Linked DNA regions of Pelodiscus sinensis. The protein of the gene in region 3 purifies or fractionates together with the protein of the main gene of each other region. This does not show direct contact. Links are inferred from orthologs where the notes say so. Each region holds a gene or a part of one and is shown on either strand. Other genes may lie near its edges. The genes, in order: IFT46, TRAF3IP1, IFT57 and IFT22.

The links.
Region 1: the proteins of IFT57 (region 3) and IFT46 purify together in Homo sapiens (affinity purification with mass spectrometry; 3 studies listed by BioGRID and IntAct, counting the BioPlex papers as one, with this or other methods). This does not show direct contact. The link is inferred for Pelodiscus sinensis from reciprocal best matches to the Homo sapiens genes IFT57 and IFT46.
Region 2: the proteins of IFT57 (region 3) and TRAF3IP1 purify together in Homo sapiens (affinity purification with mass spectrometry; 3 studies listed by BioGRID and IntAct, counting the BioPlex papers as one, with this or other methods). This does not show direct contact. The link is inferred for Pelodiscus sinensis from reciprocal best matches to the Homo sapiens genes IFT57 and TRAF3IP1.
Region 4: the proteins of IFT57 (region 3) and IFT22 purify together in Homo sapiens (affinity purification with mass spectrometry; 3 studies listed by BioGRID and IntAct, counting the BioPlex papers as one, with this or other methods). This does not show direct contact. The link is inferred for Pelodiscus sinensis from reciprocal best matches to the Homo sapiens genes IFT57 and IFT22.

What each region holds. Positions count from the first base shown.
Region 1 is NC_134736.1:860,847-867,913, reverse strand, and holds the start of IFT46 (intraflagellar transport protein 46 homolog), read right to left. Parts: upstream 3,017-7,067; 5' UTR 2,768-3,016; coding exon 2,750-2,767; intron 2,591-2,749; coding exon 2,494-2,590; intron 2,466-2,493; exon of another isoform or gene 2,224-2,465; intron 1,974-2,223; coding exon 1,894-1,973; intron 854-1,893; coding exon 720-853; intron 1-719. Other genes in the region: ARCN1 (coatomer subunit delta), read left to right, coding at 3,309-3,311. UniProt on the Homo sapiens protein: Forms part of a complex involved in intraflagellar transport (IFT), the bi-directional movement of particles required for the assembly, maintenance and functioning of primary cilia. May play a role in chondrocyte maturation and skeletogenesis.
Region 2 is NC_134717.1:64,455,913-64,463,343, forward strand, and holds the start of TRAF3IP1 (TRAF3-interacting protein 1), read right to left. Parts: upstream 3,017-7,431; 5' UTR 2,926-3,016; coding exon 2,803-2,925; intron 586-2,802; coding exon 517-585; intron 1-516.
Region 3 is NC_134711.1:154,984,261-154,991,279, reverse strand, and holds the start of IFT57 (intraflagellar transport protein 57 homolog), read left to right. Parts: upstream 1-4,017; 5' UTR 4,018-4,056; coding exon 4,057-4,391; intron 4,392-4,699; exon of another isoform or gene 4,700-5,009; coding exon of another isoform or gene 5,010-5,065; intron 5,066-7,019. UniProt on the Homo sapiens protein: Required for the formation of cilia. Plays an indirect role in sonic hedgehog signaling, cilia being required for all activity of the hedgehog pathway.
Region 4 is NC_134731.1:26,092,799-26,100,329, forward strand, and holds the start of IFT22 (intraflagellar transport protein 22 homolog), read right to left. Parts: upstream 3,019-7,531; 5' UTR 2,873-3,018; coding exon 2,834-2,872; intron 2,323-2,833; coding exon 2,243-2,322; intron 2,109-2,242; coding exon 2,019-2,108; intron 564-2,018; exon of another isoform or gene 497-563; intron 1-496. UniProt on the Homo sapiens protein: Small GTPase-like component of the intraflagellar transport (IFT) complex B.

The DNA.
Region 1 (7,067 bases), on a different chromosome or scaffold from region 3:
CAATGTAATGATAAAACAATTACTTCCCTTGAGGCAGGCTAGCCTGCATGCTAGACATCTGTACTCTCTTTCAGACAATTGCATTCTGTCTTTGTCCAGCACAATGCTTTGAGTATATTAATGGGTCCACTAATATCCCTGCCTTCTGTTACTGCTAGTTTATCATACTAAGTCTGAGTTTTTGCCAGGCTACCTGGCTACGCTCTATGCTACCTCAAAATGTTCATGAGCAGGTATTTGTAGGCAGGAAACTTAACAGGCATACTTGAAATTAAGAATTCTCCCTGTGTCAATGAACACTTCAGAATCTTGCTTAGGAATCCAAGTTTTAAGTTTTCTAAGAACAATTCTATCTATGAACAATGCATCTTTACTGATGCATGTCAAATCCCAGTGACACTCGTCCTGTCCACACGGTCAATGGCATTCCCTCTACCCTACCCTCCCCCCTTAATATAGCTATATCGTTGTATCTTCATTTTTCAGGGCTGATACTCTGAAAACTTACTGTGCCATTGCATCTGTATATTATCTGTCTCAGCTTTTAAACCCCTTATCCCACACTGTCTAATCTAAAGACACATCTGCACAGTACTGTCAGAATATAACATTACTCATTTGGCCTGTTAGGATGGAACAGGTCTCTCTCATAAGGGAGATCTTGACTTTAATTCCAGTGGTTCCTCTAACTGTTCTTATAAATTGAGAGTCCTTCATACCCCTCCAAAGGGGCTCCATGCTCCTCTTCATCATCGTCATCGTCCGAGTCAGTTTCAGACGAATCATCCTCATCCTCTCCATCCTCGTTCTCACTAAATCCTCGCTGTGGGGCCAGTTGAGCTACCTTCTTTTCCTAGGTCATGTTAAAACCAAAGTTATGGTGCAACAGACGTTCCCAACAGCCCCATTTCCCAGCTCTGCCATTTTTCATTCTAAACAGAAAAACACCCTCTGTTCAAAGTTTGCCACATACGGGTGGCACTGCTGTGTGAAAAAGAAACTTCCTTGGGTGGTATGGAAAAGGAATGCCAGCACAGACAATTAATCTAGGGTTACTACTGCTCTTAGTCTGACCCAAATGCATGGGTTTCAGCAATGGGGCGGGGGGGGAGGAATATTTAGTTCTAACAAACAAGAATTTATCTTTTTTAGAGAATCTCAAAATGGTTTATAAACAGTACTCAGCCCTTTCCAAGGCAGTAAGTACTATGATCCCACTTTACAGCCAGAGAAACTGAAATAGATAGGAGAAAACTGGCTCACGCAAAGCCACACAACTGATTAGTACAGAGCTGGACATAGAACTCAGGAGTCCTGACCTATAGTCAGTGTATGTTCTCTAAACTGTAAAAAACACTCCCTACGTTTCCAGCCAAACGTGGGTGTAAGCTATTGATCTCTGACAACCCTCTTTTTATCCCACTTCAGCCACTGAACAACAGTGGGCCTGGTAAAAGCAACAAGGAGTCCTGTAGCACCTTATAGACTAACAGATGTATTGGAGCATAAGCTTTTGTGGGCAAAGACCCACTTCGTCAGTGGGCCTGGTATTCATTATATCCACACTGGATGGTATCAGCTACCATGATGTGAAAATTCCCTTCTAGACCGATTCTCCCAAATTCATATACATTGTTCCATCTGTTTTACTTGAAGAAAAAAGAAATCTGACCCCCTCCTTACCTTCTATTTCTAGTACAAATAATGTGTCTTGCCAAAAAGTACTGCAATTACATTTCTTTCTACTCAAAATGGGTCTTAAAAATAATCACAAAACATTAAGAAATTTCCCCAGTAGGACTCAACATACAGATAACAAGTCCCAGGTAGATGGGGGCTACAAAATGCTGTGATCAACTACATCAGCAAAGAAGAACATGGACAACCTCATACCTTGTTTATTTCTTCATCATACTCATCACTGCTGTTATCAGCCATGTTTTTGAGCTGTGAGCATGTGGACCTAGGACCTGCTGAAGAGATCATCAAGAAGGTTTCTGTATATATGCTACCCAAGCTTGGTTGTGAGATTGCAGCTTGGATTATCACATTGAGGCACCTATCTACACAGGCCCTACACTGAAGTTCTAACAGTCATGTTTACTCAATTGCAGCATGAGGCTGAACTAGACTAGACTGCAGCTGGGCTAGCCACGGTGGAAAAGCCCAAATCCCTATTCCACCAACCACGTGCACGCCTAGGTTTGTGACAATTGTCCTTACCGCATCTAGTCTCTCAAGCTTCTTTTTCACCCCCAGGGAACACCTTTGGTATTTAAAACGCGTGTTCTGCTTTACCCCCACAGCACCGTGCGTCCAGCGAATCCCAACGAGCCTGCTCCCCTCCAGTTTTGAGGAACTGAGTTTTCATCCCCTGGGGGAGGCTAAGACGCTGTAGCAGCGAGGCTCAAGCTGCCCGTCGGCATTTAGGGCGGGAGCGGAGGCGGCGGCGGCGGCGGCGAGGGAGGGAGGGAGCGGAGGCGGCGGCCCTACCTCGCTGCCGTGGAGTTGGGGTGTAGACACTGGCCACCTCTTCGGAGTCGTTGATCTCCAGGCTCTCGTCGTAGGGCTGGTTTTCCACTATTTTGGTCTAGTGACAAAGACAAGCGCGTCCGGGTCACTGTCGCTGCCGACTGCAAAGCGCCGGGAGCGGCCTGGGGCTGCCCGGCGGGTGCTCGGGCCTTTCGGGACCCAGAGCACCCGGGCAGCGCCGCCCCCTGCTACGGTTTCAACCCCCGCCCCCAGTCACCTGCAGGGCCTCCGCCATGTCCCGGCTTTCAGGGCCCTGCCCGAGGCCGGGCCTCCATCACCCCCTGTGTCCCGTCACCCTGGAAACTGGCTCTCGCGAGAGTTGCCGCCCCAGCTCTACGGCGGCCGGATCGAGTCACGTCCATGCGTCTCCTCTCCTGTGGAAAGGGGAGGGCGTCGCGCAGCGGCCCCTAGCGGCCGGGCCGCGTCACTGCAAGGAAAGAATGACAGGTGCGCGGGGCTGTCGGAGCGCGGGCTGGAACGCGCAGTCTGGGGGGGGGTGTTTCTGCTTCTCACCTGCGTGCGGGCCCCGCCCCTGCTCGCGCGCGCATGGGCCTCCCCAGCAAGGGGCGGGGTCTCCGGGGCTCAGAGCACCGCACCCACGCGGCGCGGCGGGCGGGGGAGGAGCGAGGTGCTCCCGCCCCCGTGCGTGGCGGCGCTTCCGGCTGGGGACGTGGCTCGGCGCCGCCATCTTGTGGGGCCGCGGGAGGGAGACGCGGCGGCCGCTGCTGAGGCCGCGGGAGACTGAGCGCGCCGGGCCGCAGTCACGCTCCGCCGCCATGGTAAGCGCCGGGCCGCGCTCCCGCCCGGCCTCTTCGTGCCCCTGCCTGGCGCCTTGCCGCGGCGGCCGCTCGCCCCAGGCCTCGGGCCGCCCGCCGGCGTGTGGCTCTCGGGGCCTCGCGTGGGCCTGCCCCGCTGTGGGGGCCTCTCCGCGGGCAGCCGGCGATGCCGGTTCCGGGCAGGTCCCGGGCCTGGCCTGGGACACCTCTGCCGCCCTGCCAAGCGGCCAGCCCCCTGCGGCGGAGAGAGGCTTGTGGCACCTCGCCGCTCCCGGGCTTGGTCACACGGCCGTGTGGACGGGTCTGAGTCTAACCTGACCGCTGGACATGGGCTGGGTAGATCCATGTGTAAGATCACAGCAGTACACACAGTTGGCTAAAACCTGTCTACAAACGTGTGAGAATACTGTAGTTCAACGTACTTTATTGCTAATGGTATTAACGTGCATAACCCTGTTGTGCAGATATTATCTTAAGTTTACGTTGGCAAAACTTGAGGTGCACAGCAGTTAAGTGGTCTTCCCGAAAATTACATGAATCAATAATATATCTGGGAAAATAATCCAGTTGTCCTCATGATCTTGTGACCTCAGACCTTGTGACCCTGCATTTGTGGGGGGTTTTAAATCTAGTCCAAGTACATTTACTTTGCTTGTCCAGTTGAAAGAGCCTTACTTTCAGAGATTGATTACTTCACACTGTCTGAATATCAGGTTCCTTTAAGTCATGTCAAGTGGGCATGAAAAATTGCTTACTAATCCTACAGTTTAATATTGGTCCAGAGTTTGTATAAACAGGTCAATACATCTATATGATCTATATATCAGCTTGGAACGATACAAATATATACATATATATAGCTTCATGTAGGGGATTTAAACGTGTATCAGTTGTATTCTGTTTTTTATGAACTCACATTGTAGCTCTTTGTATTGCAAAGAGGCTAGATTGGCTCCTAATTGCAGTAAATTACATTTGACTCTTTGTAGTAACAGGCTTGTACCCAACTTCAAGCATGTGGTTTTTGTGGCCAAGGATAGTATAATTTGCTTACATTTCTTGATAAATTAGTAAATGAGTGTTAAACAGCTTCATACCCTGTTAGAGGTGGAGAAACAACTTTGATTAGAGAAAAGACCTGTTAAATGATATAGAGGAAAATGTTACACATCATAGAGCTGGAAGAGACCTTAGGAGGTCATCAAGGCCAGCCCCCTGCTTTAGGCAGGACCAATCCCCACTATATCAACCCAGCCAGGGCTTTGTCAAGCTGAGACTTAAAAACCTCCATGGATGGAGATTCCACCACCTCCCTAGGTAACCCATTCCAGTGCTTCACCACCCTCCTAGTCAAACAGTTTTTCCTAATATCCAACCTAGACCTTTCACACTGTCATGACAGTATAGCAAGCAAAGTGCAGTGTGGGATAATTTGCACACAAGGACAGATTAATTTAAAAGAGCATGTACCTTTTGGGGTTGTTCCTTTGAATAATTGTTCTTCTTTCCAGCTAGTTTTGTGGTCTTTGAATTTACTGGGATAAATATTTGAACTGTGTTTTAAAAAAAAAAAGAGAGATAATTTGACTCTTTTCTTAGTAAGCATAATGCATCAAAATCAAGTGCTATATAACTTTGTTTCAGTTTCAGATTTGTACATAATATCAAATTCTTTCTATTCAAATATCCTGTGGTGTTTGAGGATTAGTTTGATATAATTCTTAACTATTCACATTTCACAGCTCCTTTAATGAGGAATTGCTTTGCTATAACCTTTTATTACTGGGAGAATATGTAATTTAATTTAGTGAGGCTAAGAACAATGTACATAAGAATGGCCATACTGGGTCAGACCATAGAGACCAGTCTTGTGTCTTCCAACAGTGGCCAATGTCAGGTGCCACAGAGGGAATGAACGGAAGAGGCAATCATCAAGTGAAAACCCTCCTCTTTCACCCATTCCCAGTCTCTGACAAACAGAGACTAGGGACACCATTCCTACCATCCTGGCTAATAAGCATTGATGGACTTACCCTTCATGAATTTATATAGCTTTTTTTAATCCCTGGTAAAGTCCTGGTCTTCACAACCTCCTCTGGCAAGGAGTTTCACAGGTTGACCATGTGTTGCCTGAAGAAATACTGTCTTTTTTGTTTTAAACCTCTTGGCCTTTAAAACAAATTCCAAACCAAGAATACCTAATTTAATTTTTGTCCCCTGTGAAAAAGAATCAAAATATTTGCAATGCAGCATAAGATATTAAGTATCTTTAACATGGCGTATCTCTTGCTTTCCCAAGGTAGTCTCAAGAAATTATGGCAGGTTGAAAATTCTTACTTTTTTAATGTGGGGTGTTTGTAATGTGCTCTCCCCACCCAGAAAGTACTATCTCCTAAGTAACAAAATTGTGAATTAATAAATGGAGCCAACCTTTTAAAACCTAGTTAAATATTGAGGTGTTAGACTTGCAATGTTAGTTAAATCTAATCAAATAAATCCGAACAATTAAATCTGATGTTTGTTTATATATTTGTTTTTAAGTTACAAGATATGCAAGCTGCCATATGCAATTGTTCAGCATAGCTGTACAAAGAGTGAGGACTTTCTTGAAATTCTTGATCTAGTGACCTTAGATTGTGCAGATCACTGGGACATTTTATATGTTAAAACAGTATTTTTATACTCTAGATCCTTGCAAAGTGGAGACTAAGGATGTGTTAACTTTTCTGAGTCTCCCGTATTGACGCACTAATCAGTACTAACAGGCCAATGTCCAAAGCCTGAAAAAAGTCCACTGTGACTGAACAGTGGAATATGCTCAAACCTGACATACATGCTTTTGGGTTGTCAGTGACTGGGATGAAGCAATGACACATCATCAGTATTTGCTTCCTAAGTGGTAATGCTTGACTCAGAGAGACAGTGTCAAAGGAATTGCGGTACATTATAAGCATACAGTAATCTGTGACCGCTTCCTTAGGTGAACTTACATTAATTGTTTATACAAATTAAAGGCTTTTAAAGAATATGAAGGCTTTCTTCTTTAGTAGAACCTCTGAATTTTGTGTGTGTTTACTGCCTCATTCAAGTGGTAATCAGACTCAGCCATCCTAGGGTAGTTGAAGGCTGTAAGTCAGGGCTACTCAACTGTGGAAGCCCCGGGGGCCACAATGATGAGCACATGCCGATGGCCACAACCTAAGTGTGGTTGCATATACATGCAAATATATATGCAATTATATTCAAATTACTTTTCACATTGACAGGCATGAATACAGAGATTAAGACAAGCCTATGCAACACACAGGCCCAATTTAAGTCAGTTCTGCTAATATTAATACAATGCAATATTTACCTGCTTTCCACCCATCTCACAGCACTTTGAATGAGTAATGACAGTCAAGGAATTTAACTACTAAAACGCATATGAACAGAAGACCGTTACCTTACATTAGTCCAACTCCGAGAGCAATGCAAGCCCATGATATGCACAGGTTAGAAATGAGTCTCAGGTTCCCACCATTGCCTAATTGGAATACAGCATATCACTAGGCAGTCCAGAAGCCCTAAGCATACTTACTACATCATCCACAGGGGCACTTTTGTACAATGGACTGGCAGGCTTTGTGGAGATGTCATCTCCCATCAGATGAGCCAGAGGATTGTGAATGGAAAGCAAGGACAGGACTTCCAGGACTGTAATAGTGAAAAGCTTACAGCAGGGCTACTCAACATGTGGCTCACGGTGTGGTTTGGGTT
Region 2 (7,431 bases), on a different chromosome or scaffold from region 3:
CTTCTGCAAACAATAAAATACCTGTTAACTACTAACACAAGTGTTGGAGCTTTTTATGCAGCTCATGACATTGACAGTCCATTACAGAGCTCCTGCACATGACAATCTTTCCAAAGGGCCCAGAGCTCCACTTCATTACTCAGACACCCAGACATGAAAACTCATTCACTTTACCGCTCCATGTACAAGCACCTAACTTGGTAAGAATATGCACAAAAGGTGTTTAATAAACAGTTCTCAAGATATCAAACAACACCAACAGATTCTGTAAAAATCTCAACGTTTTTTATGTAAGTAAACAATACACAAAAAGTTAGAGTTATTTGCCTATGCACAACCACAACACACCACCACCACCACACTTTTAAAAAGGCAGCATTTAAGCATATTCCTGGGCATTAGCTTCAGATGAGTGTAGGTTTATCATAGTAAATAGAATTCAGTGAAACAAAGTGGCAATAGCTAGTGACCAGTTATAAAGAATTCCAACATTAAATAAGGAAATTTCAAACCCACCTTCACATTATCAGATTTCATCTCAAAGTCTGTGTAAAGCCCGTTCATAAAACCAGTCACTCTAATTACCTTCAAAGCAAACACAGTAAATTAATAATAATAAAAAAAAAAACTAGAAAGCTTCCAAAAAACCCCATCTTTTACAAACTTTCTGCAATCACTTGGAGGGATGCTATTTCATGCTGAACTATTTTGGTGGTGCAGTTTTAAAGATCCTTTCTATTGCAATGATCTCTTCTGTCATGGGTTTCAATAAGTCATTTGAAGCTTGCTCTTTTTTTTTTTTAAAGTCTCCTTCCTTTGAATCATTATATCTCTGCAGTACAGAAGATTCACTTTAAAGGCTACGTCTACACTGCAGACTTCTTGTGCAAGAACTGTTTTACACAAGAGTTCTTGTGCAAAAGGTCTTCTACAAGAGTGTGTCCATACTGCCATGTGCTTTTGTGGAAGAGATGTGCTTTTGCGCAAGAGTGTCCATGGCAGTGTGGATGCTCTCTTGTGCAAGAAAGCTCTGATGGCCATTTTAGCCATAGGGCTTTCTTGCACAAGAAACCGCTATTGCCTGTCTACACTGCCTTCTTGTGGAAGAGCTCTTGCGCAAGAGGGCTTATTCCTCATGGGAAGAGGAATAACTCTTCTGGAAGAAGCCGTGTTTTCCAACGCTGTACTGTAAATTTACTTGCGCAAGAACGCGCGTGCAGCATAGACGCTCTGCAAGTTTTTGTGCAAGAATAGCCTGCAGTGTAGATGAAGCCTTTTTGTTTTACGCAGAAAATTACAGTTAATACACCCAAAGGCCATATACTTTAACGACAGTCCCGATGTATTCTGTTACTGCCTAACACGTGGTGGCTGATTTCTTAATAGACATGCACATACTTGAGTTCAGGGAATTTAACATCTTCTAATGAATAATCCATTTTGACCTTCCTTTGACTAAAAGAAGGCAAAAAAGGATAAGCTTTGTGAATATCTTTCAGAGTGTAGGAGTGCTCACCTTTTATTCTATAGTAGATGTTCATTAGTAGCCACACAGGGGCGCCTTTTGCTACTTAGCTTCTAAACACCTATTGCAATTCTAGGGCTTGCTGCCAGGTCATGGTGGGTGGGGAAAGCATTCCCACGAGAAATGTTCATAAGCAGTGGTTGCTTTTATAAGGTGTTGCTGTAAACAAGCACCTACTGTAGTACTAACGACCACAAATGTTTTCTACTTTGGTAATATCTTTCACCTGCAGCTGTAAGGTTTGGGAGATGGGGGTGGGTGTTGTTTTTTATTTAAGAGGAGCAAAAATTCTTGCCTCCATTTCACACATTGGAAAAGGCAAAAGAGTGAGAGAGAAACCAAAGCAATAGAAGGGTTGCTGGTCAGGATGTAAAATCCCAGGTAATCTGTTAATTAGTTACACCTCTGGTTTAACCAAACAAATGGGCTCCTGCTCCTGCATGTGCCCACCCTCCAACTCAGGGTTCTGTCCCCTCTGTGCTCAGGGGAGCCAGCTTCTGCTCCTGCACCCCTGAGGGAAGGGGAAGTGGCAGCAGAAGCATAAGGGTGATGCTCACCAGGTAACCAGTTACCCATTCACATCCCTAGCTGCTGGTAGGTAGGTAAATAGCTACCCCTCCCCCTACTGCTGCACGCCCTCCTCCAGGCAGATGGGAGGGCACCACGGGGGGGGGGGGGGGGGGCTCACCAAGGTCCCAGGCCAGTGGGGTCCTGCGTCCAACCCCCTGGGGAGCTCTGCCCTCCAGAGTCCCCCAGCACCCCGAGCCCCGCCCACAGTGCCCCCAGAGAACCCCGCCCTACCAGAATCCCCCAGCACCCCCTAAGCTCTGCCCCCCAGAGCCCACAGCACTCCCTGAGCCCCGCCCCCCAGAACCCCCAGCACCCCTGGGGAGCCCCGCCCTACCAGAGCCCCCCAGCACCCCCCTGAGGAGCCCCGCCCTACCAGAGCCCCCCAGCACCCCCCTGAGGTCTGCCCCACAGAACCCCCAGCACCCCTGGGGAGCCCCGCCCTACCAGAGCCCCCCAGCACCCCCTGAGGTCTGCCCCACAGAGCCCACAGCACCCCTGGGGAGCCCCGCCCTACCAGAGCCCCCCAGCACCCCCTGAGGTCTGCCCCACAGAGCCCACAGCACCCCTGGGGAGCCCCGCCCTCAAGAGCCCCCCAGCGCCCCCTAGGGAGCCCCGCCCTACCAGAGCCCCCCAGAACCCTTCGAGCCCCGCCCCTCAGCCCCCCACCCCCGGGCCCCGCCTAGCAACCGGCCGCGCGGCGCCCCCACCTCGCCGATGACGTCGTGCAGGTAGCGGAAGGGCGGCTTGCTGAGCAGGCGCTCGGTGAGCGGCGGTTTGCGGATCACGCGCCCCAGCGACTCCTGAGTGCGCCGCACCACGGCCCCGTCCATGGCGGCACCGGCCGGGCCGGCTCCGGCTGCGCCCTCCCGGCATGCACCTCGCCCCCGCCGTGCGCAGGCGCAGCGCCCCGGCCGCTCGCTGCCCACCGCGGCCCTAGCAACGGGCCGAAGGCGCCTGCTTCGGCCCCGCCCCCGGCCCCGCCCCGCCGCGCAGGAGCCAATGGCGCTGCCGCGCTCCCTGGCCGGGCGTCCGGGCGGCAGAGCTGGCGCGCGGGGCGGGGGCAAATAGGGATGCTCTTGGAGCACAGGGGCGTCCACGGGGCAATTGGGGCACAGGGCTGCCTATGGGGCAATAGGGATGCCTGTGGGGCAATTGGGGCACAGGGCTGCCCGTGGGGCAATTGGGGCACAGGGCTGCCCGTGGGGCAATAGGGCTGCCCGTGGGGCAATTGGGGCACAGGGCTGCCTATGGGGCAATAGGGATGCCTGTGGGGCAATTGGGGCACAGGGCTGCCTATGGGGCAATAGGGCTGCCTGTGGGGCAATTGGGGCACAGGGCTGCCCGTGGAGCAATAGGGATGCCTGTGGGGCAATTGGGGCACAGGGCTGCGTATGGGGCAATAGGGATGCCTGTGGGGCACACTTGGGCCCAGCAGCTCCCTGCCACCCTTCATCTCCCCACAGGGGTATACACCTCACCTGGCTGTACCTATGGTGCCTGTGGGCTGAGTCTGTCCCTGCCCAAGGGCCACCCCAAGTTCTCTCTCCCCAGAGGCCCGAGCTGGCCTGGCTCCCATTCCAGCAGGTCTCTTGCGGGCTCTCTGCACTTCCCACTAAGCTAATGATTTCATGCCAAACTGGAAGCTCTGTGGTCAGCATGAGTCCCACGTGACAGAAGGGCAAAACCTTGAGCTTTCCCATGGTGGGCAAGTCTGGGTCTCAGCTATCTGTCTTCCCAGACCCTGACCCCAAGCCCTGACTCACTGCTCAGGCACCCCAGAGATGACAAGGAGACACAAACCCCAGCTGCTTCTAGTGCAGGCAGATGTAGACTCTTCAAAAGTCTGTGGAGCACTCGCTGAGCCCATATACCTATACACCTTTATCAGCCCAAGCTCCCAGCACTAAAGCAGGAATTGTTACAGGTTGACTGGTATCCCTCCCAACTTTCCTTTCCCCAAACATTAGTATTTCCTCAGACAAACTCAAGTCCAAGTGCTGGGGGACAGCTGAGAGGCCGAGTGAGACTAACTGATCAGGACTCTCAAACTGCTTCAGAAACAAATTAGGGGGTGGGGGAGAGAGGCACAAATTCACATTAGTTCAGGCAAGTTTGCCTCTGGACACCTGATAGAAGGTACTTCAGCACAAAGAGCTCAAAGGAAGTAGTTTGCCTCTTTCCTCTCCCTTTGAGACAATCTGAAATTGACGAGATTCCCAGACTAACTCTGCCTCAGGGGAACTGAGGAGCCTGGGAAGAGGAGGTGTTGACACTTTCCTACAGCCAAGGACTTTGTAAGAAGTCTTGTTAGGAATCCAGAGGAGTGGGAAGAAGAAGCTGGGGAGGAACTGTGTTTATTTTGGAATGGTCTGGTTCATTTGGACTTCTGCCACTAGCTCTCCATGAAGTATCTATGATGCCTGAGAGACTGGGAGGGAGAGTCCTCAGGGGTTGTTAAATGTGAACTTCACTGTTTATTTGGATGGCGAGTTGGTATGCTGAGAAAGGGTGGATTGGTTTAGCTAGAGTCAAAGGCTAAACAGCCCACAGACTATGGACATCCCTCTGGGCCCACAGAGAAGCACTTGGAATTGAAGGAAGTGTCCTGCATTAATGACACAGAGGAGGTTTGGTCTCTATTTTAGGTGCCCTGGCTAGAACTTGCACTGAGTGGGAGCTCCATTCAATCTCACCACATTATGGTAGGAAGTTGTGACATGGTGTCAGCAGTGGGATCTGTGAAAAGGGGAGAAATATGAAGACTAGAGACTTCTTATCCGTGGAGTACACAGCTGAGCAAAGTATTTCCATTCAGTTTCCAGGAACATTCCAAAGGAGAGAGGAGATATTTTCTGGAAGCAAAAAATGTGGAATTGGTGCAGTGGTCAATAATGAAAAGGACAGGTCACTGCTACAGTGTTATCTGGATTGTTAAGCAGACAAATGCATTTTAATACAGCTAAATAGATATGTCTAGGAACAGTAAAATCAAGTCAAAATTGAGAGACATAACCAAGCCAAGTGCTCCAAGAAAATGTAGCACTAGAAGAGAATTGGCATGTGCTAGGGAACAGACTTTCTTGGAACATTCTTGTGAACTGCTGATATTCAATATTTTAAAAATAACTATTACTCCTTAAGGGTCAAACTGCCCAGAAGACATGGATGTCCACGATATTCTTATTGATAAACTAGGCAAATATAACTTAGATAGATCCACGATAAGGTGGGTGCATAATTGGCTGGATAACCGTAGTCAGAGAGTTGTTGTTAACGGTACTAAATCCTCCTGGAAAGGGATAACAAGTGGAGTTCCTCAAGGGTCTGTTTTGGGACCCGTACTGTTCAATATCTTCATCAATGATGTAGATATTGGGATAGAGAGTACGCTTATTAAGTTTGCAGATGATACCAAACTGGGTGGGGTTGCAACTTCTTTGGAGGATAGGGACATAATTCAAAATGACCTTAGCAAGTTAGAGAAATGGTCAGAGGTAAACAGGATGAAGTTTAATAAAGAGAAATGCAAAGTGCTCCACTTAGGAAGGAACAATCAGTTCCATACATTCAAGATGGGAAATGACTGTCTAGGAAGGAGCACGGCGGAAAAGGATCTAGGGGTCATAGTGGACCACAAGTTGAATACGAGTCAACAGTGTGATGCTGTTGCAAAAAAAGCAAATATGATTCTAGGTTGTATCAACAGGTGTGTTGTAAGCAAAACTCGTGAAGTCATTCTGCCGCTCTACTCTGCATTAGTTAGGCCTCAGCTGGAGTACTGTGTCCAGTTCTGGGCGCCACATTTCAAGAAAGATGTGGAGAAATTGGAAAGGGTACAGGGAAGAGCGACAAGAATGATTAAAGGTCTAGAGAACATGACCTATGAAGCCAGGCTTCATGAACTGGGCTTGTTTAGTTTGGAAAAAAGAAGATTAAGGGGGGACATAACGGTTTTCAAATATCTAAAAGGGTGTCACAAGGAGGAAGGAGAAAATGTGTTCCTCTTGGTTTCTGAGGACAGGACAAGGAGTAATGGGCTAAAAGTGCAGCAAGGGAGGTTTAGATTGGACATTAGGAAAAAATTCCTAACTGTCAGGGTGGTCAAATATTGGAATAAATTGCCAAGGGAGGTTGTGGAATCTCCCTCTCTGGAGATATTTAAGAACAGGTTAGATAGACATCTGTCAGGGAGGGTGTAGACGGAGCTTGGTCCTGCCTTGAGGGCGGGGGGCTGGACTCGATGACCTCTCGAGGTCCCTTCCAGTCCTATGGTTCTATGATTGCTATTCCGCATGGAACTTGGTTTTTAGTCCATTATTTTAAACAACATAGACTATGGCTCTGCACACACTCAACATATTTGTTTGGCAGCTCCTGCCTGAAGATTTGTTTTATCAAACTTTCAGACGCTGAGAGGTCAGACCCTAAATGAATTGTACTTCTGCAGTACTACAATTCATTTGCAAATTTGACACTATCAATTTAGGATTGAACAAAAACTGAATGTCTAGCCAACTACAAAAGCAGTTTCTCCTCCTTATCAGCTGCTAGAAGTGAGCCTCATCCTCCTTGACTAAATTGACCTCTCTGGCCTTCCTCTTGATTGGTACTCCCTTCTTTTCATGTGCCTATTTATACCCACCTCTGGAATTTCTACTACATGCATCTGACGAAGTGGATCTTTGCCCATGAAAGCTTATGATCTATAAATCTTTCAAGCAAAGCTGATTTTTCCTCCCCTCCCCCCCCCCCCCCCAAGATAAAAAAACTATTGCCACTGTTTTTGCTCTAGGTAGAAACCAAGAAAGTGTGTAAGTTGCCATTTTGGGTTGTTTTCCAGATATGAAAGTACCTGTTTAGATCATCCTTTCAGTTTTCCAGTTTTCTATTAGATATTGAACATCTTCCTGTTCCTTTTGGTCATTTATGTTCCATTTCTGTAGCAAGCATTTAAAAACTTATTGTTTCTCTTTTAACATTTGTCTGCTCAATCTATTGACTAGACGAGGCTAGTCTGACCCCTCATACAACTCTGGCTGCCTTATCAGCGTTTGGTAGCTCTGAATAAAACCAAAACTGTGATAACCAGCCTTTGTGTTGTCAAAAGTATACACCATTGAATGTCAATAGAAAATCTTGTTTGTTTTATTCTCTTGACTCAAATTAAATGGACTTTGTAAACTATTGAGTGTAGATGAAACAAATCTGCTTGTACAATCAGGAGAAGCGGTTCCTATTATATCTAGTGAAGGAACATGTTACAACAAGCCTCCAGCTATTGTCTTTCTCTGAATCTGTTCTCTCCTCATTGAGAGGCAAGGTGCGGAAAGGAATAT
Region 3 (7,019 bases):
TTTTCCATTCTGTACTTTAACAAAGTAATAGAAATCGAGGGACTCATGAGAACCTCGGTATAAGTATCTCATTAAATAAAACTATTTAACCAATGTGTGTTTTATAACATGTTTCCCATAACAGGACAGCAGTTTCAGTTAGGCAAAACTGTAACTCTGAATATTTAACTCTCTTTACTAGATAAGTCTCAAACTCCTGGCTCATGAGCCATCCCCCTTCAGAGTGATTGCACAATCATCCAGTGTGCTCCACTTCTCCATGGCTCCTGATGCTCTGGGGAGTGCGGGGGCTTATTGACCGCTGCTGCCACACCACACCCGGCTCCCTCTGTGATTCCCAAAACTGTGTCCTTGGGAATAGAGTGCCATGGGAAGAAAGGGCAAAGGTGATGGTGGGAAGGGGTGCAGTTTGGGGAGTGGTAACGTACAGGTCTTGGGTGGAGTGTGCAATTGCTCCAGCTGGGTATGACTTGTGGGCTGGAAATTTGAGACCCCTGCTTTATAAGCTTTGACCTAAATTTTACCAGTCTAAATCTCATGTAAGTCACTGGTTGTAGTGGAGTAACTCTGTATTCTTACCAGTGAAAATAAGAGTACACTTTGTCTCTATAAACCTTCTGGTTTCACAATGAAGATAAGGCATTTCAGCTGATCATTACTTCTTTAAGATTGTAACCTGGTAACAGCTGGTTAAAGTATGCATAAGGCTTATGAGCATTAGAAGCATTCAAAGCTTTACAAATTAAGTAAGCCAAACTTGGAAAGTTGTAGATATCCAAAGCAGTATATTAAGCCAGATTACTTTTGTTGTACAAAAAAACCCCACACACAACTACAGTGTATATATATTTAAAATCCTCCACTAGCTTCAAAGAGACCAAACCCTACATCTCCTCTATTTTGATAGCCCAAACACTGGATCCATTTTACATGTTAGAAGCCTCTTTATATATACTGGCCCTGTATTTCAAAAACAGCATGGAAAAAGGGCAACATGATCCTGCTATCAGCGTTTCAGAACCAAGTAATTTTGTTCTACAGTGATAGATCCTTTGTTATTTCAGAATGATCAGAAATCAGCATGTATGTAGCAACTGAGCAGAAGTAGTCAAAAGTTGAGCTGTCTTCTGGGATCCTGTAATATGTTCACTTTGTCCTACTTCCTTTGGCACATTTTTTCCCCAAAAAAGCGGTGTAGGCCAACATTGTAATCTTTCTCCTTTAATAAAAAGTCAGAAATGGCTTAGAATTCAGTATGAGTACTAGCAACTTTTGCCAGTATAGTAACCTTGCTGAAGGGTGTAATTTTTAAAATTTTTATTTTAGTTTGACATTTCTGAACCAGCAAATGCCCTAGCAGAAGCACTTACACTGGCAGAAAACAGCTTTTGCCACTGTATTTAAACTAGCAGAAACTGTACCAGCAAAAGCACTTTTTGCCACTATAAACTGCATCTACACTTAGGAGGGTTCAGCCACCATAACAGCAAAACTTAAGTCAAACGGACCTTAAAGCCAGGTACTCTCATTTATGATTCATATGATATATAGTATAATTGATAAAAAGAATGAACACTGAATTACACACTCCATTTCCCCTCTATTTTCCCACCCCACTGTAGCATTCCACATTCTAGCAGGGTGTCTGTGTGGCCTCCACTTTTTTCATGCCAGGGGCTTCTTCCCCTCACCTTCCTTTCTTATTGACTCAGTTTGGTGAATTTCTGCAGCTGACGAGCGAGACAGTCTGGCAATATGCGATACACACTATTGTAGTTATATAGCAATTTGCGTAGCTTTTTCTGAAAAAAGGCTCTAGTGTAGACATAGCTAAATTCTTGGGAAGCAAGACACAGTGCTGAAAGATGTTCCAAAGGTAGGTTCCACAGCAGCAATAGCAGCTACCTATGTAGCCCTTCAGTGTCATCTGTGGAGACAGTGGGCCACCCAGCTTACAACAAAGCAGCAGCTCTATAAAAACATGGTTGTACCAGCTGTATTGTGGATGTTAAGAGTGACAGCTTCACATTTCTGATTCTTCTTGTCTTTGCCAGCTGTTTCATATTAAGTAGCAAGCCAAGGGCAGCCACCAAAGTATTAGTAGATGAGTAGAACAGTTTCCACCATCAGCATTAATTCTGTTTCAATGACATTATTAGGAAGATCAAAAAATTACAGAACACTTTTACTCTTATCTGTAATGATCCTTATCTGCTTCTTTTAACTATCCAATTTTTCGGTGCTTATAGATTACCAGTTTTGTCTGTTTGGTTTTCCCTTTGATATTTACATACCCCCTCTGCTTCTTGTTTCCTGCCCCCTTCCATTTTTTTCCTTCCCCCCTGTCATTTCTCCCCTATTTATTTTGGGTCTGGACATCTTAAACTCATAATTCTGGCCATCTGAAGAAGTGAACTGTGCCCACGAAAGCTCGTGATACCATCTTCATGTTTTGTTAGTCTATAAAGTGCTACCAGTCTATTCTTTTTTAAGTTTATCCTGTACAGACTAACCTGGCTACCCCCTGAAACTTTTATTACAGAATGCCACCACACAGGTGAGGGAGGGTTATATCTTGTATTTATTGCCCTCTAATATCTTGGGATAGACACAGCTACAACTATAGGGCATACAACAAAGGAAGGCATCAAATTTAATGATCTGAAGTGAAAACAAAAAGACACAGAAACAAGTCCAATAAAAGATATTATCTCACTCATATTGTCTCTCCATTATGTCTATATTAGAAACAGGATCAACAATCCACTACAACTCTTCTTAATGACTGTCTGATATTTTGATTCACATTAGTTTTGAAAAGTTTAGGCAAGACAAACTTAATGGTATAAAATTTAAAAAATCAGATCCTGTATTAAAGTTTAGATAGAAAGACCTATGAGCCTGAGTTCAATCAACAAACTAAATCATAAGAAACACATGGACATGTACTAAAGGAATAAGTAGAACAATAAGGTAACAAGGCATTTTAGTTTTGAAAGTACCCTTTAAGAAGTCAAACATATAGTTACATTACTGACCAAATACATCTATTCTTATAGTGGCACAATTCACATTTCAGTCTCTTTAATCATCTCTGTATTTTTGTTTTTCTTAAGCGTTTGGTCTAAATTGCAAAAATATACTCACAACAAATGAAATCAGTGTTTCAAGTGGCAGCACACAGTCAGCTGTTCAGAAATTAAATGTACGTTTATCTGTAAGGAGTAAACATTCCTTTGAGGTCAAAAGTCTCTTGAGCAATGCAATAAAACGTAAGGCGGAAAGGTGTGTGACTCTTACAGTTACCTAATGAATTCCTGTCACCTGAATGATACGGGGCACCGGAGAAATCTGATCTCACTAAGTGTTTCTATACAGCTGGGGTTGGGTCTGCTGCCAGCCTGAGACAGACACAAGGTAAAATGAACAGAGGGGGAAATGTATCCTTCGGAGCAAGTGGAAGCCACCTGGATGCCCAAATCTCAGCACGCCCCTCTTCTTGAGACTGCAGTGCAGGAGAGCCTGGAGACAGGCAGGGGGAGGTGCAAAGGCAACTTTCACTGGGACAACTTCTGCGGGTGAAAGGAAGGGGCAGAGCCAGCTCCCCGCCGCACAAAGCCTGCAAACCTCGCAGCGAGCCCGAGCCGGCTGCCCTCCCACGTCAGCCAGGCACAGGGCGGGCTGCGGGTGACCCAGCGCATGGCTGGACAGTCCCCTGAGAGGGGGCCGTGCCGCTCTACGCCAGCCCCGCCCGCCAGGGAGAGGGAGGCAGGCGGGGTTGGAGTAGAGCGGTTTCCTCCAATCATCTCTCGGCTCTGCCTTAGCTCCGCCCCCCCTCATCGGCAGCGAAGAAGTTTCCCCTGCCCCGCCCAAGAAGAGGGAGGGGGAGACAGAGAGAGCAGCGTCCACCCGGAAGAGCATCCCTGCTGCCTTCGCGCGCTAAGGTGTCCCTCGAGAACCCTCGAGCGGAAGTGCCACTCTAAAGGCGCCACCTGAAGGAGGAGGGGGTGGGGGGGGGGGGGGGTGCTGCGCATTCCGGCGCGGAGAGGTGATTGGATGAGTGAGCAGGGAACCCGGGAGGTGATTGGAGGAGCGGAACCAACAGCGCGGCCTGAGCCACAGCGGGGAAGTGATTGGTGGCTCGGAGTTGCGGGGGGCGGAGTTTGTTGCCCCGGAGACGCCGCGGCTGGGCTGGGGCCTGGGGTCTGCGTGCAGATGGAGGAGGAGGCCGGCGGTGCCCGCCGCGGCGGGGAGGAGCAGGAGGCGGCGGAGCGGGGCCCGGGCGCGGCCTATCACATGTTCGTGATGATGGAGGATCTGCTGGAGAAGCTGAAGCTGCTGAACTACGAGGAGGAGGCGCTGCGGCTCCACCACTTGCGGCCCCTCTCCAGGTGACCCCTGACCCCGGCCGCTGACCCCTGACCCCGCTGCCGGCACGCGCCCTCTGACCTGGGACCGTTGTCAGCGGCCCTGCCACGCGCGGGCGAGGGTCCGTGGACGGGGCCCCAGGAGGGCTCAGGGTGGGACGGGCGCGGGAGGGGCCTTTTGCTCCCCCGGCCCTTGGGCAGCTCCCAGCGCTGAGGCCTAGTTCACACTCCTGCTTTACAGCGCTGTCACTTGATGCGCTGGGGGGGGGGGGTCTGGGGGGGGGGGCTTTGCACCCCTGAACCAGTAAATTACAGGGTTGTAAAGTGCCAGTGCAGAATGTTTGCGCTGCATAGTGTATGCATGGGCCAGGGAACTGCATGTGGGACCAGGGCTTGCTTGTGAGTGAGTAGGTAGCACACACCCCTCTCTCCCTCCCCGTCCCTACCCCCCATCTCTGCCCACATTGGTGGAGCATTGATCTGTCTTTGAAACCTGGGCTTCTGGTGTACAGGTGGGGATCTTAGGGTCTCTATTCACCAGAGAATTTGTCTGTTCTGTGTCCTTCTGTGGCAGTCTTCTTCGCCTGCCAACATGTCCAGCTGTGGGGTGTTCCCAGCTTTTTACAGTCCACGGGTCCAGTAATGGTGGAAGAACTCTTTTTGCTTGTGGCTTCACTGTGGCAGAACACACACAAGAGGTCTGTGAGATTAGTGACATTTCAGCATTGGCTTCTGTCCTTTGGAAGGTGACAGCAGCAGCTCTTAGAGGGTCCACCAAGGCACTTGCAACACATTTGATGCACTTGATGCTTCCAGCCAAAGCTATGGATTCTCTATATATAGAATCATATTTCGGGAGCAGGGCCACAAGCCCAGGCTTGTGGGATCACATTATTATGAAGACTTGGGAGACGATCAGTGGCTTCAGAAAATTTTACACGTGGAAGCAGACATTCATGAAGCTGTGTGAGAAGCTTTCCCTGACCATTCTGTGCTGGGATAAGCACATGAGTGAGGCCATATCATTGAAGAAATAGGTAGCTAGTTCCATCAGAAGCTGGCTACCTCACACTGCTACAGGTCTGTTACTAACCATTTTGGTGTTGGCATTTTGCTTGTGAGGATTGTGTCTTTAAAAATGGCCAAATCAGCTTAAATCTATAGCTGCTGAGCTAGATGGAACATCTGACAGTGGATGGTGCCATGTACTTCAGGGAATGAACAGAGTTTAGGGTATTTATCAAGTGATCCATTGCCAGCTTCTGGCAGTTAACATCCAAAACGTGGCATTGTACCATGACTGTCTTGTCTAATAGCCATTAATGGACCTGTCCTTGAACTTAGCTAACTCTTTTTTTTGAACCCAGCTGTGCTTTTGCCATCACAGCATCCCTTGGCAGTGAGTTCCACAGGTTGTGTGTGGATAGAAGAAGCACCTCCTTGTGTTTGTTTTAAATGTTCTGTCTGTTAATGTCATTGCATGATCCCTGGTTATTGTAGTATCTGACTATGGAAATGACACCTTCCTGCTCAGTTTTTCCATGCCATTCACAGTTGTAGAAGTTTGTGTGAGAACTTATTACACCCACCTTTGGGTTAATCACAATTCTAATTTTACTGAAATAATTGCTGACTCTGAAGAAATCGATTTCCCACACAGAGCTAGGTCCATTGATGATACTCATATACCATAGTTCTTCCCAAGGAGCAAGTGAATGTCATCTGCATAGGGCACTATTTCATACTTATGCAGACCTTGGTCAACCACACAGGCAGATTCATGGACACCAGTGTGGAGTGTACTGGCAAAGTGCATTGTATTAGGGTGCTGAGGTGAACAGGCATTTACCCTTTTGGACAAACATGGGCTATTTCTCCAAGTGACGGGGTCTCTATGTCCAATAAGTTTAGGAGATTCTGCTTTTCTTGCCCGGGCTCATTAAATCATAGTTTAACTTAAGAGATGCTGGCAGTAGAAGATTGTTTCACACTTAGAATGATGATGGTGTGCACATTTGACAGACTCAGAGAAAGACTGTGCTGTCTGCAAAACCACTTGAATGCCGGTGTTGCTGATTCTGTCCATATCGTAGTAGCATGCTGCATATTGCACAACACCTGTAAGGCATCAGGAGAGCATTTTTACTTGGAGTAGACTGAAAATGCTGCTGGTTTGCAGGTCCAATACAGGCAACCATAAGCAGCACCAGTTATTATGGGGGCTGTATCCAGACAGGCAAAGGATTTCACACATGACTTCTATAATCTCATCCTAAGGTCACGGGTGACGGAAATAAGGGTATGTAATGCTGGTGAACTGTTATGTGCCTTGCATTTTATTGCTACTGCTATATTTTATGTGGGCTTTGCAGTATATTAAGGGCTTCCTGGAGGTTTTTTTGTGTACATGAAGTTCATTTTGGAGGTTTTTTAAAACAATTTTTAACTTTTATATCTAGGTCTAAAAGTTGGGGAAGGCACTTTGTTAGTTTGTGTTTGAAACCAGACTATGTTAACATGAACAAGACACTGTTTTAGAGCATGCCAGCAGCGTCCAGTGTTTAGCTGGAAGGCAATACACCCTTCTAATGTGCTCTTCTACTCCCTGTGGAAAAGTACTTAGATGCAAGTCACAGATCAGAGGCTGCTTGG
Region 4 (7,531 bases), on a different chromosome or scaffold from region 3:
TGGCCAGTTTTTCCAGAAAATCAGCTGCTTTTCCGGAAAAACTTGCCAGCTGTCTATACTGCATGCTTGAATTTCCGCAAAAGCACTGACTTTCTACTGTAAGAAATCAGTGCTTCTTGCGGAAATACTATTCTGCTCCTGTGCAGGCAAAAGTCCCTTTTGCGCAAAGCTTTTGCGCAAAAGGGCCAGTGTAGACAGCTCAGATTTGTTTTCTGCAAAAAAGCCCCAATCGCGAAAATGGCGATCGGGGCTTTTTTGTGGAAAAGCGTCTGTGCCAATCTAGACGCTCTGTTCCGAAAATACTTTTAACAAAAAACTTTTCCGTTAAAAGCATTTCTGGAAAATCATGCCAATCAAGAAACTCCACCATGGGCCTAGAACTTAGTTACAAAGGGAAACCAAAACATTTTTTAAAAGTACACAGACATCAGATCCTATTTCCCAAACCATAAAACAATAAAACCTAACGGCTTTATCTAAACTTTACCCTACTTACAGAAGAGTGAAGAATTGTTTATTGGAGAGAGAGAGACATGTCTGTCTCCTTCAGTAGCTGGAGGGAACTGCCAAGGGAAAAAGGAGAGGGAAAAACAAAAATTCCTTTGTCCCAGGTTGAAATTCCTACCTACATTCCTATTGGTCAACTCTACCTGAGTTAGGTATAGTTAACCCCTTAATCCCCAGGCTGCTGGCCATCTCTCATGATCATGACAGATGGCCAGCACCTTCTCCTGAAGAGCTGACTTGTGGAGTGGTCCTAGTCCTACAAATGGACCAGCTGAAACAGAACCCTACTGACTTCAACAGGCATAAGCATATGGTCAGGTGGATCAATTTAAGGGATTAAGATCCCCTAGTCATCTAGGTCCTAATCCTACATGGATCCCCCAATGCACCTGGAACTCCTTAAGCTCTTAAAAGGTCACTGCCAACTTGATCTTGTAACAGTTTAGAGAATGAGTTAGAAATAGTTTCAGATTCCACACCTGTCCTTGAACCCCCCTGACAATTTGTGGTTTTAGTTTTCCTTTTTTTCCCAAAGTACTTTTTATTCCCTGCTGTTGAACCTAATCCCTCAAAAAGAGTGGTCAAAAGCAAGCAAACTGAAAATATAACAAAACATTTCCCTCTATCTGCTTTCTGTTACTCAATGGTGAGTAAGAGAGACTTCAGAGAAAAGTGTGATTTTTAAGCTGATGCTCTTAATTCATTAACAGATAGATGGCCTTTTATTCATTTTCCTCTGATATAATATTCCGTGTGTTAATAGCTCCGAGCTGCTACAAGAATGAAACTGCCATATGTAGTCAGATAAATAGTACATCTTCCTCCAGTATCTTGTGTCGTAGTGCCTGATGTCTCAGAGGAAGATATAAAAAACTTTATAATAGAATAATCTATTTAAATAGGAAGCTTCTTCCTCATTTTAGGCAGGTAATACTTGGTTTATATCCTGAAATATGAGAATTTATATCCCATGGAAACAGAACAAATGCATGTTAAAATAATTCATATGCAGTGCTGTTGTAGCTGTGTTGATCCCAGGATATTAGGGAGACAAGTTGGCTGCATCTAGACTGGCATGATTTTCCGCAAATGCTTTTAACGGAAAAGATTTTCCGTTAAAAGTATTTGCGGAAAAGAGCATCTAGATTGGCACGGACGCTTTTGCGCAAATCGCTGTGCCAATCGCCATTTTCGCCATCGGGGCTTTTTTGCGCAGAACAGTTTTTAGCTGTCTACACTGGCCCTCTTGCGCAAATACATTTGCGCAAGAGGGCTTTTTCCCGAACGGGAGCAGCATAGTATTTGCGCAAGAACACTGACCATCTTACATTAGATAGTCAGTGTTCTTGCACAAATTCAAGTGGCTAGTGTAGACAGCTGGCAAGTTTTAAAACTTGCCTGTCTAGACGCAGCCATTGAGTGAAGAAGAGCTCTGTGTAAGTTTGTGTCGCTCAAATAAATATTACCTCACCCACCTTGTTAAAATAACATGAGCTTTGAAACCCACTTACTTTTGATCACCGCCACAATCCCAGAGCTCAAATCGACACCCTGCCCCTTTACTGTTGCCATTCACATTTGGCTTCTCATATTCAAGGATCCTAAAAACAGAAGTGGTTTCATAGCATGATAAAATTCTACAAGACCATGCTAGGAAGAGCATGACCTCCTCTGGGGAAGAGGTGGGGGGTCACAAATAAGGGTCTCCTTTCCGTATGCATGGTACAGGGCTCACCTCACTCCTTGAGTTGGGACATAGCTGCTAATGCCTTCTGTACTCTCTGACACAAAATTTGCCAAGACGGACTTCCCAGACTGCCAAAAATGGGAGCAAAAAGCCATGTGTGTGACTAACACGTCATTCAGTAGGGCTCAGAGGGAAGGGCGGCGGGGGGGGGGGGGGGCTGTGTATATCCTACCCTGGTCTTTGCAGTTTGGAGCCTGGTTTTTGCTGTTTGGAGGGGGAAGGAGGCTACTTCCATGGGATCATGGCCACAAGGAGGTGGAGCCCGTAGGATCTTCGTGGGCTGGGATCCATAACACTGGGGGGAGGGGCTCCCAGCTGGGCTGTTCATTGGGGGGGGGGGGCGACATACACCAGACCCTGCCCTTCCCGCCCAATCGGGCCACTCGAGACATCGACAAGGCCCAAGAGCGTGTGAGTGGGGAGGGACAGCGCGGCAATTCGCATGGGGCAGATACGGGGGGGCAGCCCCCAGGCACGTACGAGGTTCAGGAGCCGAGCCCCGCCCCTAAGGGGCCATGGGGGCTGTTCGGGGGGGGGGGCTCCACGGGGCCTGCGCTCCGCCGCCCGCCCCGCACTCACCTCGCTGGGGCCCACGAACAGGATCTTGGCCTTCAGCATCCCGGCGCGGGCCGCGCAGCCCCGAGCCCGACGGCGTTGCCGGGCGGCACCTTAGCAACGCGGCGCCGTTGTCAAGGGCGGGGGGAAGCCGCCCTGCGATTGGAGCGGAGCGTGGCCGGAAGGGGGAGCGGAGCGGGAAGGGAGGAGACGTCACGTGCCTCAAGGGAGCTTCCTGCTCCACGTGACCCCTTGCCCAGGTTCAGTCCCCTCCCCCTCAGTCTAGCCCCTCCCCCTCGCCCTCATTTCTCCTCCCCTCAGCCCCTCAGGGCCCGGCTCGCTCGCTGGTCGCGCGCCCAGAGCTGGCACTGCAGCAAGGCCCTGGGTTGCACAAGCTGGTCCCTGTGCTGAACGCTCTTAGCTGGGAGTCAGAGTCCCATTCTCATTGAGCTTCAGTCAGTTAAAAAAACACCTACAGGGGAAAAAAAGATTTTTTAATGAGTGTAGCAAAAATCAAAACACTTTTTTCACCCTCTAAAGCTCCCATGCAGGGGTATGGACCAGAGCAACAAAAGGGGTGAAATACAATCTAAAAAAAAGGGAAGAAGGACAGTCCAGGGAACTGCAGACCAGTCAGCCTCACCTCAGTCCCCAGAAAAATCATGGAGGGGAGCCTCAAGGAATCCATTTTGAAGCATTTGGAAGAGGGGAAAGTGATCAGGAATAGTCAACATGGATTCACTAAGGGCACGTCATGCCTGACCAACCTGATTAGCTTCTATGATGAAGTAACTGGCTCTGTGGATATGGGGAAGGCAGTGAATGCAATATACCTTGGCTGTGTCTACATTGGCATGCTTTTGCGCAAAAGCGACTGCTTTTATGCAGAAACATGCTGCCTGTCTACACTGGCCGTGAGTACTTGCGCAAGAACACTGACGTTCTAATGTAGGAAATCAGTGCTCCTTGTGCAAATACTCCGATGCTCCCGCTCAGGGATGAGCCCTCTTGCACAACTGTTCTTGCACAAGAGGCCAGTGTAGACAAGCGACATTAATTTCTTGCGCAAGAAAGCCCGATGGCTAAAATGGCCATCGGAGCTTTCTTGAACAAGAGAGTGTCTACGCTGGCACGGATACTTTTGCGCAAAAGCACATCTCTTGCGCAAAGGCACATGCCAGTGTAGATGCTCTCTTGCGCAAATACTTTAATGAAAAAACTGTTAAAAGTATTTGCGCAAAATCTTGTCAATGTAGATGTAGCCCTTGACTTTAGCAAAGCTTTTCATACGGTCTCCCATAATATTCTTGCCAGCAAGTTAAGAAAGTATGGATTGGATAAATGGACTGTAAGATGGATAGAAATATGGCTAGACTGTCGGGCCCAACGGGTAGTGATTAATGGCTCAATGTCAGATTGGCGGTTGGTTTCTAGCAGAGTGCCCTAAGGATTTGGTCTAGGGCTGGTTTTGTTCAATGTCTTTATTAATAACCTGGATGAGATGATGGATTGCACCTTCAGCAAGTTTATGGATGACACTAAGCTGGGGGAGAGATAGATATGTTGGAGGGCAAGGATAGGTTCCAGAGTGACCTAGACAGATTAAAGGACTGGGGCCAAAGGAAATCTGATGAGGTTCAACAAGGACAAGTGCAGAGTCCTGCACTTGGGATGGAAGAACCCCAAGCATTGTTACAGGCTAGGGACTGAATGGCTAAGCAGCAGTTTGTCAGAAAAGGTCCTGGGATTACAGTGGATGAGAAGCTGGATCTGAGTCAACAGGGTGCTCTTGTAGCCAAAAAGGCTAATGGCATATTAGGGTGCATTAGGAGGAGCATTGCCAGCAGGTCTAAAGAAGTGATTATTCCCCTTTATTCGGCTCTGGTGAGCTCATATCTGGAGTATCGTGTCTAGTTCTGGGCCCCCCACTATAGAAAGGATGTGGACACATTGGAGAGGGTCCAGCGGCAGGCAACCAAAATGATTAGGGGGCTGAGGCACATGACCTGGGACCAATCCTTTTCAACTTATTCATAAATGATCTGGAGAAAGGAGTAAGCACTGAGGCAGTAAAGTTTGCAGATGATACCAAACTGTTTAGGATAGTCAAGACAGAAGCAGACTGTGAGGGACTCCAAGAAGATCTCACCAAACTGAGTGATTGGGCAACAAAATGGCAAATGAAATTTAATGTGGATAAGTGTAAAGTAATGCACATCGGGAAAAATAAGCCCAACTATACGTACAGTATGATGGGGGCTAATTTGGCTACGACAATTCAGGAAAGAGATCTTAGAGTTATTGAGGACAGTTCTCTGAAAACTTCCACACAGAGTGCAGCAGCGGTCAAAAAGGCAAATAGGATGGTAGGAATTATTAGGAAAGGGATAGAAAATAAGACCCAGAATATCTTACTGCCCCTGTATAAAACTATGGTATGCCCACATCTTGAATACTGTGTACAGATGTGGTCTCCTCACCTCAAAAAAGATATTTTGGCCTTGGAAAGGGTTCAGAAAAGGGCAACTAAAATGATTAGGGGTTTGGAACGGGTCCCATATGAGGAGAGGCTAAAGAGACTGGGACTTTTCAGTTTAGAAAAGAGGAGACTGAGGGGGGATATGATAGAGGTCTATAAAATCATGAGTGGTGTGGAGAGGGCTGATAAAGAAAAGTTATTTATTAGTTCCCATAATAGAAGAACTAGAGGACACCAAATGAAATTAATGGGTAGCAGGTTTAAAACTAATAAAAGAAAGTTCTTCTTCACACAGCGTGTTGTCAACCTGTGGAACTCCTTGCCAGAGGAGGCTGTGAAGGCTAGGACTATAATAGAGTTTAAAGAGAAGCTGGATACATTCATGGAGGTTAGGTCCATAAAAGGCTATTAGCCAGGGGATAAAATAGTGTCCCTGGCCTCTGTTTGTCAGAGGCTGGAGAGGGATGGCAGGAGACAAATCGCTTGATCATTGTCTGCGGTCCACCCTCTCTGGGGCACCTGGTGCTGGCCACTGTCGGTAGACAAGATACTGGGCTAGATGGACCTTTGGTCTGACCCAGTATGGCCGTTCTTATGACCTATGAGGAGAGACTGAGGGATTTGGGTTTATTTAGTCCCCAGGAGAGAAGAGTGAGGGGGGATTTGATAGCAGCCTTTAACTTCCTGAAGGTTCCAAAGAGGATGGAGAGAGGCTGTTCACAGTGGTGATGGATGGCAGAACAAGGAGCAATGGTCTCAAGTTACAGTGGGGAGGTCTAGGTTGGATATTAGCAAAACTATTTCACTAGGAGGGTGGTGAAGCACTGAAATGGGTTACCTAGGTAGGTGGTGGAATCTTCATCCCTAGAGTTTTTTAAGTGTTGGCTTGACAAAGCCGTGGCTGGGTTGATTTAGTTGGGACTGGTCCTGCTTTGGGCAGGGTGTTGGACTTGATGACCTCCTGAGGTCTCTTCCAGCCCTATGATTCTATGACTCTATGAATACAACCTGTGCAGCTATTTTGGAGCACATTTGTGGCTCTCTGGGCCTCATGAAGAGGTCAGGGAAATTGTTATTCAGTGTTTTCCTGGCTTTATAGAGCTAGGCTCTATCCACAAACTGAATTGATAGGTCAGTGATGTAAGGGCACAAGGGAGGGCCTCAGAGTTTCCTGCTTTGCCACAGACTTCCCTTGTAACTGTGCACTAATCATTTAGGACCAAATCCATAATGGTATTTAGGTTCCTAACTTCCACTGAAAGTAAAGGAAATTAAGACCCTGAACATCTTTGTGAATCTTAGTCTAGTCCACTGTAGAAGTGAGGCTAGCGGAGCTTCCATGAGGAGAAATATATTAAAAGATCGAGAATAACTCAATTTCTACCTATCTGGGCCATATGTATACCTAAAATGTATAGATTTTGTGTGAGAAATGCCATTCTCTGGTGTAGTTTCCAGAACACATGGATCTTGTGATACTAATGACAGAATTTCCTCAAGTCACCAGCATGAGCATTGAAGAGACAAATCCTGTAAGTTTCTTATTAAGGCTTTGCTGAGGGAGCTGGAAGAGTTTTAAAGGCTCAGCATATAGGTACAAACATCTGGCAACCAGATGGGTTGCTTCAGAGTTGTTTAGTGCCCAGGTACAGTAACGTTTTAAGACAAGCTTTCAAATAGGACCTTTAGGTGCTATCATAATATAAATATTTATTAGTGCTACTGATAAATGTGAAACAGGATTGTTTTGTTCCCACTGAGAGGATACAGTGTTTCCATCAGCCTGCAGATTTATGTAATAGGTTTGTTTAGTGTCCCAGGAGCCTAGGTGTCATTTTTGCCACATTTAAAGGATCAGAAATAATCCATTGTTTCCAGGGCAAGTTATGAGAGACAAAGGTAATGTAAGAAAGCCAGCTGCATTTAGCATCGAACGCATATTTGATTCTGTTTTAGCAAACTGGGATTTATTTTACACTGTTAGAAACACACAGCTACCTAATTCCAATTGTGCACCTAATTAGGTCAATTTGTAATCAGTCCCTTCTGCTGCAAGACTATATGCCACATGCCAGATCCACTTGCATTCAGAGAAAAGACAGAAGTGACCAAAGGAGAAACCATTTTGCACTTATGAGCCAGCAAATGTAACCATTGCAATGTCTAGTAGTGCACAAAGAGAAACACGATATAATGGGTTCTAATGTGAACAGGCCCACTGTAGCCAGACACGAACCCCATCT